Linked DNA regions of Diceros bicornis minor. The protein of the gene in region 1 interacts with the protein of each later gene in a pairwise test. Links are inferred from orthologs where the notes say so. Each region holds a gene or a part of one and is shown on either strand. Other genes may lie near its edges.

The links. The genes of interacting proteins can lie anywhere in the genome.
Region 2: the proteins of STAC3 (region 1) and L3MBTL2 interact in binary tests that used the Homo sapiens proteins (3 or more experiments, as listed by UniProt). The two-hybrid records come from large-scale screens. The link is inferred for Diceros bicornis minor from reciprocal best matches to the Homo sapiens genes STAC3 and L3MBTL2.
Region 3: the proteins of STAC3 (region 1) and FAM133A interact in binary tests that used the Homo sapiens proteins (3 or more experiments, as listed by UniProt). The two-hybrid records come from large-scale screens. The link is inferred for Diceros bicornis minor from reciprocal best matches to the Homo sapiens genes STAC3 and FAM133A.

What each region holds. Positions count from the first base shown.
Region 1 is NC_080756.1:11,656,013-11,659,760, reverse strand, and holds the start of STAC3 (SH3 and cysteine-rich domain-containing protein 3), read right to left. Parts: upstream 2,648-3,748; 5' UTR 2,552-2,647; coding exon 2,125-2,551; intron 1,884-2,124; coding exon 1,786-1,883; exon of another isoform or gene 1,641-1,785; coding exon of another isoform or gene 1,575-1,640; coding exon 1,502-1,574; intron 607-1,501; coding exon 509-606; intron 1-508. UniProt on the Homo sapiens protein: Required for normal excitation-contraction coupling in skeletal muscle and for normal muscle contraction in response to membrane depolarization. Required for normal Ca(2+) release from the sarcplasmic reticulum, which ultimately leads to muscle contraction.
Region 2 is NC_080764.1:9,163,026-9,166,773, forward strand, and holds the start of L3MBTL2 (lethal(3)malignant brain tumor-like protein 2), read right to left. Parts: upstream 2,410-3,748; 5' UTR 2,328-2,409; coding exon 2,304-2,327; intron 1,958-2,303; coding exon 1,717-1,957; intron 100-1,716; coding exon 1-99. UniProt on the Homo sapiens protein: Putative Polycomb group (PcG) protein. PcG proteins maintain the transcriptionally repressive state of genes, probably via a modification of chromatin, rendering it heritably changed in its expressibility.
Region 3 is NC_080781.1:87,221,735-87,225,482, reverse strand, and holds the start of FAM133A (protein FAM133A), read right to left. Parts: upstream 2,277-3,748; 5' UTR 2,225-2,276; intron 1,908-2,224; exon of another isoform or gene 1,853-1,907; intron 1,454-1,852; 5' UTR 1,384-1,453; intron 1-1,383. Other genes in the region: NAP1L3 (nucleosome assembly protein 1-like 3), read left to right, coding at 2,798-3,748.

The DNA of each region.
Region 1 (3,748 bases):
CTAACAAATTCCTTGCTGAACTGAGTGCAAGTCTATGGCATTACTGATCTAGTAACCCTATTACAAAAGGAAGTAAAGTTGCTCTTGGCCACTAGCTTTGTGCCTCAGTTTCCTTATCTATAGGAAATGGGTCAGACCAGATGATCTTCATGGACCCTTGCATGGCTCTAAAATTCTCTGATTACGTGGCATGGCAAGTTCTCTTTCCCAAATCCAAAAGCATTGCTCTTGTCTCTGGTGCCCAGCAATGCCAGGGGCCTGGGGCCTAGGCTTCAGTTTGTTGGTGGTTAATCTGACAATTTCAGAAGGGAGTTCCTGGAGAAAACACACTATGGCAGGAGTTGTTAACCTGAGGCCCTCTAAAATTGCACACAAAAATGTATCTGTTGGGTTATGTGCAATTTTAGAGGGAGAGGATCCCTAGCTTCTGTCAGCTTTCCAGAGAGGAGGGAGGACCTGCTCCACAGGGTCTCTGGAAGGGACCTCAGTAGGAAGGTATGGTGCTCACATTCTTCTTATCTGCCTGTCCCTTCTTCCGTTCCTTGTTTGCCATGATCACCCCAGTGCGCAGGGTTTCAAACACAGGGTCATTGCGATTGGCAGCAGCTAGCGGGAATGGGAAAAGAAAGAAGACATTACTGCGGAGGCAGAGAAAGGCTTGAAGGAAAGAGAGACCTCCTAAGTAAGGGAGAGGTGGGACTGAGCAGATAGACATGCATGCATGTGCGCATGTTTGTGTAGGATTAGGGAAGGGTCAGCTGGGCTACCTAGGTCATCAATCTATAAAGAGCTCTAAAAATATCCCTGGAAATGTAATGTGATAGAGAAAAATGTTTACCAGCACTCCTTCTAGGCAGAGCATTATATGATGTTGGAAAGACAGCTTTGCTAACATGCTGCTTGGGAGTTGGGGAATCCTCAGAATCACTATTCTCCTTCTAAGGAGAGTGGTCTTTTAACTGCTGGCTTTTGTTCTGCTGAGTGGCATGTGTAAGCGGGGATGCTAACACCGGTGGGTTCTTCTTTTTCCACCCATGCTCCTCACAGAGTTCAGCCTCTCCTCCAAATAAATCTTGAGAAATTGTCAATGAATACTTTTTGAAGGGTTGCCAAATTATGAATCTGCCCAGGATGCTCACAGCTCTTGGTCTGGCTTTGAGTTTGGCATTATTCTGTAACCAGGATGTAGAGAGTCTAAAATCCTTGTTCTTGCTTAGAAATGGTTTCATATATGAAGAGCACAGATTTTGAAGTTAGGCAGATGAAGGTTTCAGTCTTGGCTCTGTCTCTTGTTATCTGTGTGAAGCCCTAGCTAAATCTTATCTCCCTCAGCTATAAAATGGGAATATTGACTGCATCCAAGATGGCTAAAAGTTTAGCTTGAGAGACAATCTTGTGAAATAGGATCTTTCTGTTTCAGAATTTGCTTCCAAATCTAAAGGTGGTGCTGACACGGTCTCTAGGCTTGCCCGTTCCCTCAGGTCCCATAGGGGGCACTTACAGAGATCTTTGACACAAGCGTACTGCTGGTTGCTGTAGAGTGGGGAGCTATAGGCCCGATGGAAACCAGGGGGCTGTAGGAGGGGATGGGAGAAAACATTAGAGATAGCAAGGAAGGGCCCAGAACCCATCTCTCCCATGAGTGCTCACCTCTTCTTAGAGTAAGAGATGGGCTGAGAAAGAAGCAGCAGGGAAATGGACGGGATGACTTGAGGAGGGACTGGCAAGAGGGTAGCTGGCAACACGCCCCTCCCTTCTACTTTCTTGCTCCCAAGGTCTACTCACGATCTTCCCGAAGCACCTCTGCATTTCCACGTAGGACTGACAGTGTTCGTGGATGTTAGTTTTGCAGTTCTTGCAGCGAAGCCCAAATTTGTTGTTGACTTGGGAGAGGGGAGAATGTTTGGGTGAGGTCCCTGAGCTCCCTTCCCTCATGCCACAGCTGCTCCTCGAGCTCTTAGTCCCTTTTCTGTCTGGGAGCCAACATTCTCAGTCTCTAATAGTATTTTCTTAAAGCCAAAATCATGCCAAAGCCTGTCTGTGATACAAATACCCCTCTCCTAAACTCTGTCCCCGCCCCCTGCCTTCGACATCACACTCTCTCCACTTCCCTTCAAGACTCACGCACAATCATCCGGGCACAGACATCACAGAACTTGGGCTTCTTGAAGAAATGATCTTTGAATTTGTGGGGCTTATCATTGACAAGCTTAGGAGGTTCTGGGGGTGGCTCCTCCTCCTCCTCTTCCTCCTCCTCTTCCTCATAGATGTAGTAGATGGGCCCAGCCCCAGCTCCCACTGCCTCCCCATTAGCCTGGGGCTCTGGGGGCAGCTCCATCTCCTTTGTCACTGTGGACTCCTTCCTGAATAACTGCTTCAGCCGCTGTAGCTGAGGGAGGCAGGGAAGGAGGGAAGGAAACCCAATGTTAAAAGAACTGTCATGCTTTCTAGAGGAGGTAAGGTGGAAGCTGACTAGACATTTTTCTAGCCTCGGGCAAGGGGCACAGCCCAGCATTGGGGGGTATTGGGGGCTGCAGGTGCTGGCTAGCATTCTAACAATAAATGAGTCACATACTAGTGAGATCAACTCAAGCGCTTTTCATCAAGGGTTGCCATGGCTTCCCAGCTCCCCACAGCTGGTGGTCAGAGGCCCAGACTCACCCCACTTTGCCGAGTCTCTGCTGGGAAGGGGGGCTTAGGGGACTCCAGCACCTCCTTCTCTGTCATCCTGCAAGAGGTCAGACCCCACTATGAAATGTCACCTCTGCCTGCCATTCTTCCCTCCCTATTCCTGTCCCTCACAGTAGGGTGGTCCTTGAAGAGGAGGCTTCAGGGGAAATTTGGTTAAACAGGGATCCTTTCACAGGCTTATGAACAGAAAGTTTCCACGGAAGTCCAGAGAAAAGCCCAACAGACTCAAGAACTTCCCAACCAGTTCCTCAAACTGATACCCATCCTTCCACCCTGAGGGACAACCCGAGTTTACAGCCCCAACACAGTGCTCAAGTCTGTACGGTTTAGGGCATTTCCTACAGGTACTTTGTGTGCAGTAGAGACATGACATACACCTTCCCAGATCCCCTTTCTTCAGCAAGTTTAATGTGTGTGTCCATAGCATGCATGATGGGATGGGCTGGGGACATTTGTTCTCCCCTCTTTCTTGAGCCCCAGGGGCCCAGTGCTTAGTTCCCAGCCTGCCTCAGCCCTCAGCTATTTTAAGTTTTCAGAGTAATATGAGCCTTTCCTTCCCTTACTACTCCATTACCTTGACCCCACCCCCACCCCACCTTCCAATCCTAACTCTTGTTCTGGAGTAGAATAATAAATTTCACTCCTAAAACCCAAACTACTCACAGAGGAGGAGAGAAATAAGCTGAACAGACTACGGATTGGGGAAGCTGGGGTAAGCAGTCCTGGAAATGGGAAGAGGATGACAAGGCAACTTACGTTTGGGATTCCCTAGTCAGTCCAGAGTCTGTGGAGGGAGGAGGGAGCACCTGGGGTCTTGATGGTGGTGCTGGGGGAGGACTGGTCTTCTTCCTTGGGGGCTAAGCCCCCCCACTACCCTGTGTACTCACACCAGCTACCCAGACGGTATTTGTAGACCTCTTAGCCTCTCGCCTTGGTGTCAGAGCTGAAATGACAGGGCTGGAGCAAAGTGGACAGCTGAGTGACACAGCTGACACAGAGAAATTGGACACGGGGTGGCCTGGGCAGGGCTGGACCCTAAGTCCTCCCATCCCCCAGA
Region 2 (3,748 bases), on another chromosome or scaffold:
TGGAGGAGTAGCTCCTGGAACAGGAGACACTGCAGAATCTCTTGGTCTTGGAGAAGAAGGCTTCCCTTGTACCCACGATACCACACATCTCACAGACAGCTGGGAAGAGAACTTAGCACATGACTCACCTGATGCGGTTACCCCAAATCAAACAAAACGATGGGCCCTTCAAAAGCTGGGGCACTGCATTTACCGGGTTAAGTCTCAGTCCCCCTAAGGCTGGCAGAACTGGAAGAGAAGGAAGTTCTGGGGTGTCCATCTGAACCTATTTCACCCAAGATAAGCTGCTTGGCATCCCTTGGCTACACGTGTCAACAGTGGCGCTAAGGAAAATCCATGAGGATGACAGAGGAAACAGGTGAGGAAAGTTTGCGAAGAGAAAACTGAGAAGGAAAAAAGTGCTCACATCACTTAACTTCTGTGGGTCCATTTTCTTCTCTTCTATAAAGAGACTGAACTAAATCAATGTTTCAACCTTGACATCGTATTAGAATCACTTGAGGAGCTTTTAAAACTGCCCAAGCCTGAGATTCTAATTAGCTGGTCTGTGGTGGGACCCAGGCATTTCCAGTTTGTTAGAAGCTCCCCAAGCGATTCTTTTTTGTGTGTGTGTGTGTGTGAGGCAGATCAGCCCTGAGCTAACATCCATGCCAATTCTCCTCTTTTTGCTGAGGAAGACGGGCCCTGAGCTAACATCTATTGCCAATCCTCCTCTTTTTTTTTTTGCTTTTTTTCCTCCCCAAAGCCCCAGTAGATAGTTGTATGTCATAGTTGCACATCCTTCTAGTTGCTGTATGTGGGACGCCGCCTCAGCATGGCCCAACAAGCGGTGCGTCGGTGCACGGCCAGGATCCGAACCCCGGCCGCCAGTAGCAGAGCACGCACGCTTAACGGCTAAGCCACGGGGCCCGCCCCCTCCCCCCAGGTGATTCTAATGCACAGCCAGGCTAAAGAACCCCTGCACTAGATGGTCTCTAATGGTTCCTTCTAGTTCTAAAGTTCTAAGATTCTAAAAGAATGGTTGAAGAAGATAGAGGGGAGAAAGATAAAAGAAAGGAGAGAGGAAGGGAAGACATGACAAATAGAAAGGAAATAAGATTCAACTGGCAAGAGTATTCTCTTCTGAAAAGTTCAGGTACCAAGCAACAGGAGTGTTATTACAAATTGTCTAGCCGGCCTCTTTTCACAGGCAGTCCACACGCTGGAGGCACTGACAGTGGGGTCCAGCAGCTGTCCAAGATCACAACTCTGAAGCCAAGTGGCTTCCAGATGATCCATGGGGATTCTTATCTGCTCACCTCCACCCTACTCCTCTTACTTGGAGGTCACTTTATTCTATATTTCCCTCCCCCTCACTCCCACCCCGCAAGCTATTTCTTGTCCCTACCCAGATAGTAACCAGAACAAGTGTTCTACCTTCTCAACCTCCAGGCTTAGAAATCCACTAGCTATTCACACAAATGTACAAGCAGCACCATGTTAATGACTGGCATGTAATGTGTGCTAAATAAATACTAGTTGTATGAACGAAATCAGACTACTGCAGAAGAAATGACCCTTGGGGCTACTTGGGATGCTCTGTCTCTCTCACAGGCCCTTAGACATCAGATCAAACAGCCCTTTACACCTGGAGGGCTCTGCCCACATGGCTCTATCCCCCTCTTCCTCCATAGCCTCCTGAAACCTCCCCATCTTCAGGGGGCACTCTGAAGGCACCTGGCTCAGAACCACTGCCATCCAAGGAGCGGGGAGTCCCAGGGCTGAGCAAATGCAGCGGGGAAGTGGGCAGCTCCCCTGCTTCCCGATCCTCATTTTCTGCTTCACTTGACTCCTCTAGGTAGGAGCTGCTCTCACTGCCCGCACTGCTGTTATAACTCCGGAAACTGTCATAGCCACCAAAGAGCTCCAAGTCGTCATCTTCCTCTTCTTCCTCCATTGGTTCTGAAGACGGAGTCTCCTGGTGGAAGGAAACAGGCAGAAGGAATCATGGTTGGTTTAGTGTATGGGGAGGGAGGTGGCAGATCTACCAGCTCCCGTTCCAGTTCTTGGTGAAGTCAACACTCTTGGGCAAAGTGGCAGGCAGAATCAAATACCCCTTTTGCAAACACCAGGATCATTACTCTTGTTTATACATTTCTCAACAGGCAACAGCGACCGCCTCTGGCCCGGGTCAAGCCTAACTACCTCCGTCTATCCATCTTTCCACACTCCGCCCTCCAGCCTTCACTAAAAGGCCTAAAGGGTCCACGAGTGAGGCTCTCGGGGTTCCCCTTCTCAGTCACGATAAGTCCTTCCCCCCTCACCTCGACTCCCCGGGGCTTCTCCATGAGACCCAAGACAGGGTCTTTAACCGTCACCAGGCGCAGGAAGCCATATTGGCCTCGCCGCTCTCGCGAGCGCACTCATTGGCCGTCTCCCAGAGCCGCGGACCAATCACGCTTCAGGAAAGAGGGAAAGCTGGTTCCGCGCTCGCTCGCGCCCCTCCTCCCCGGGGGCGGGAAAGCCGCGGACGCTTGTGGGACTTGTAGTTCCCGGGTGCGTGCGCGTGGAGCGGGGCGTTGCTACAGCGACGTGAAAATCCCGAGCTCGGGCCTTCCAGCGGCTGTTGCGGACAGTTTTCCTACCTCTACGTCAGCGTCTTCCCTTCACCCCTACCCCATCCTTCATTAAACAATTATTGAGCACCTACGGTAGTCAGGTACTGTTCCAGGCTGCAGGGATAACCTCGCATTCTCCCTGATTAGAAATTTCAGGTGCCGTTGGGCCGGAATGCCTAGCAGAGAGACTCATTTCCAATTCAGGCCGACTGGAATACTCTTATGCCCAATGCTGTAGATGTCCTGCATGCTCAAAATCCTGCAACACTCGCCCTCCGTCACCATCTTCTAAATAAAACCTGGACTATGAGGCTCGCCACCTCGTCGCGTTTGGATTTCCCACAACCTTCTTACACGCTGGGAGCTCTAGGCATTCTTGTGGAGCTTTACAAACATCTCAAATCCGCAGACATCCAATCATCGTTTTAAAGATGAGGCAACAGTGGCTGTTAGGGTTTAGACACTTTCCAAGATCACATAGGACTGGAATTTAAGATTTAGTCCAAGTTCTTTGCCTATGCTATGCTGTGCTCCAATTAATTAAGAAATTAAATGTAATAAGTGGAGGCTGAATATATGTTAAATATATTTCTAAATTTGAGGTTCACCACATAGATGTGAAAATCTTCCTTAATTTTTTTCTTTCCTTCAATCCCTTCTATCCCCAACCCCAATATCCACATTATGGACAAGTACTGTTGGTTCTTCTACCTCCAAAATATATCCTGTACAGGCCGGCCCGTGGCTTAGTGGTTAAGTGCTCACACTCCGATGCTGGCGGCCCGGTTCGGATCCCCAGCGCGCACCGACGCACCGCTTCTCCAGCCATGTGAGGCCGCATCCCACATACAGCAACTAGAAGGATGTGCAGCTATGACATACAACTATCTACTGGGGCTTTGGGGGGGAGGCGACAAAATATATCCTGTATGCCTCCACCACTACCACCCTAATACAAGCCACTGGTCCACTGCAACAGCCCTCCATCTGGTCTCCCTGTTTGAATCACCCCCTTCTTTAATCCACACAGGTGATCTTTTAAAATCATAAACCAGCTCATATTCATTTTCTTGCTTAAAACGCCTAATAGCTTCCCCATGCACTTTGAATAAAATCCAAACACTCCACAAGACCCTGAATGACCTAACCCT
Region 3 (3,748 bases), on another chromosome or scaffold:
ATCTATAGAAACAGAGAGCAGACCTTTATTTTTTATAATTTTTACTTATTAGATTTTATTTGCTAATAAAAACATATATTTTTTAAAAATACGGATCCCTAATTCATTTCTTACTCCAAAATACTAATTCCTGATGGTACAAAATTTAACATGTATATGAAACCATTAAAGTGCTATAAAAATGTAAGATCATTCATTAAAAAAAATGTCCATCATTTTAAATGAAAATAAGTTGTAGAACAATATTTATGTCATAACTCTATTGATTTAAATCATTTTCACAGTATATGTTTTGATTTAAATTATGAAATGAAAAGATATGCACCTAGTAAGTTTTATTCACCATTCTATTGCTATCCTCTACCACATATGCTTGGCACATGGCAAGCACAGGAATATATTAGCTGAATGACTAAATAAATGAACTCATTCATTGTTGATGGGACTGTAAATTGTGATAACTTTTCTGGAGAGAAGTTTGGCAATATGTATCAAAGAGTAAAATGAGCACACAATTTATTCCAGCCCTCTCCTTTCTAGGAATTCATCCTGTGAGTAATTTTCACAAGTGCATACAGTACATATCCAGGGCTAATTTTCTTATAACAGGAAAATATATGTATGTTAGTGGAGAGAGAGTGTGGGAAATAGGTGCCCTATAACAGGAATCTGGTTAAATAAATTAAGGCAAATATTTCCATGGAATATGTATCTATTTTAAAATAAGATGTTGATTATTTACCATGAAAATATAGCCACAATTAATTGATAAATTAAATGAGCAGATTACAAAACATAATATGATGTCACATAGATAAAACAGTGTATATAAATAGGCAGGTGTGTATATGTACAAAGAAATTTCTGGAAGGAAATGCATCAAAATGCTAACAATGGCTATAGTTTGGTTGTTAAGATTGTGTATTTTTACTATCATTGGAATTTTCTATATTGTATTTTTTCTTTAAAATGCTTATATACTTTGACAATCAGAAATAAACAATAAAAGTAGATCCATTTACAAAATAGAAGACTAGTGCTTCCTAATTTTTTATAAAATATATGATGAAACGACAAAGCACAAATCCTACAATAAAAAAGTAACATAAAAGTTAATCTAACATTTTCCTCATTTAAAATAAAATAATTCATATTTTAATTTACTGCTTGTATTCTATGAGCAGGTTTAGATAGTGAATGTGATTAATTAGGCTATTTTCTACATTAGTATGTCAAATCACCTCCGTGGATTTTTCTGCTTCCATAGAAATATCAAGATATCTTCCAATTAAGTCTTTAAAAGACTATATTCTGTGAATTTTTATTCAAATACAGGTAGGTAATTCTTGTCATTCATAAAAATGGGCTAAATATGTTCCTTACCTTTTAATGAAAGGTAAACACTGGTCTTTTTGGATGTACCAAGGGAGTTGTTCTGTAGCAGAAAAGAATCCTGTAAATAAAAATAACAGATACCTGTTTTTAAATTTCATTTTGCAAAAGTTTATTCACATATTTCTGGACTTGTAAATCATACTTTTAATATGGCTAGAATTTTACAATGTTAGAAGGAAATTGGTGGTAGATGACATTGTGAAGTATATATTGACAGAGGATGCACGTTTATCAGCACAAATTCCCCTCCCATTCTGCTGTTTGTGGAATTGAAAACTGCTGCACAAAAGTATAGAGCAAACCTTCTGCTTTTAAACAATACTACCTAACATTTGAATACCCTTTTATTTTATCTACAAGGTTTGAAGGGCTAACTGGCAAGTCAGCAGCAAGGTTGAGGTACATTATACGCCAGCTTAAAGAGAGAAATATAGTAAAAATGGTGCAACTGACTCACGGCAACATGGGCTCGAAAACCTTGTAGATGGATATAAAGCAGGCTTGCCAAACATCACAGACAGCACTTATTAAAACTGCTACGTGGAATGCAACATGCCTGCTTTCTAGCCCCTCCCTCCTTTGCCAATAAACGACTCTCCTTTTTTCCAGTGTAAAAATACATGCTCATAGAATATTTAGATAAAATAGATTAAAAAAAATCATCCATAATCACACTACCCAATGATGCCACTTGGAGTACTTTCATCCAATTTTTTAAAAACAGATTTTTGTCAAGAGGCCCCTGATAAACCAAACGGGAATTTAGGATGAGCGGATGGGAGAAAGATACTCCTCTTCCCTTGTTAGGAACTATGGCTAGTATTTTTACCTCATATCTAAGCTTTTTTTTTTTGAATTATAAAACTATAAAGGTAGAATTTAAAGGGGAAAAATCGTCTTCCAGGGGTGTGTGCCTCAGCTACCAAGGAGCGTCTGGGAAGATGGGCGGAGCCTGGAAGGCGGGCGGTGCGTTTGGTCATTCATTGGGCTTAGGGACTGTCAATCAAACTTGCCCAGCAAATGAGGCGCGAGCTAAAGGCACCCTGGGAACTAAACTAACAGGAGGTCTGACTGCAAGGGGAGGGGGCTGCCGATCTAAACCGTGAAGAGAACTTGGGGTCTCACACAGCGCTATTCGGCTGCGGCACGCCTCTGTCCACCGCGGCGGCAGCCGGGAGAGGCCTTGCCACCGCCGCTCTCGCGCAGGCTTCCACTGCCGCTGTCACCTCCGCGCGATCGCCGCAGCCCAGTCCCGCCCCACGCTGCTGCTGCCTTCGCCGCTGCCACCTTCTCAGCCCGGGCCGCTGCCGCCACCCAAGCATCCGTGAGTCATTTTCTGCCCATCTCTGGGCGCGCGGTCTCAGCAGTAGTCACCACCTTTAGAGGTTTACTGGCTTGCAAAATGGCAGAAGCGGATCTTAACATGGTCTCGGGACCTGCCGCCCAGGGGGTTGCTGAAGAGATGCTGGCTAGCTCGTCTAGCGATTCTGGGGAAGAATCTGACAGCAGTAGCTCGAGCAGAAGCACTAGTTACAGCAGCAGTGGCAGCAGCAGTAGCCGCAGCCGCTTATATAGAAAGAAGAGGGTACCTGGGCCTTCCAGAAGGGCGCGGCGGGCTCCGTCGGGTAAAAATTTCGTGGACCGGCTGCCTCAGTCAGTTAGAAATCGTGTGCAGGCGCTCAGAAATATTCAAGATGAATGTGACAAGGTAGACGCTCTGTTCTTAAAGGCAATTCACGATCTCGAACGAAAATATGCTGAACTCAATAAGCCTCTATATGATCGGCGATTTCAAATCATCAATGCAGAATATGAACCTACAGAAGAAGAATGTGAATGGAATTCAGAGGATGAGGTGTTCAGCAGTGATGAGGAGGTGCAGGAAGACAGCCCTAGTGAAATGCCTGCCTTAGAAGGTGAGGAAGAAGACGACCCTAAAGAAAAACTTGAGGTAAAGGCTGAAGAAAATGAGGTACCTAACGAAATTCCTGAGGCAAAGGCTGAAGAAAAAGCAGAGTCTAAAGATTTGCTGGAGGCAAAGCCTGAAGTAAAAGAAGATGCTAAAGAAGTCCCCCAGGCAAAGGCAGAAGATAAAGGACAGCCTAAGGCAGTAGAGGCTAAGGCAAGGGCTGGAGTAAAAGAGGCTTCTAAAAGAGTTCCTGAGGTCAGGCCTAAAGAAAGAGTGAATCTTAAAAGAGCTCGTAAGGGAAAGCCTAAAAAAGAAGATCCTAAAGGCATTCCTGACTACTGGCTGACTGTTTTAAAGAATGTTGACAAGCTTGGGCCCATGATTCAGAAGTATGATGAGCCTATTCTGAAGTTTTTGTCAGATGTTAGCCTGAAGTTCTCAAAA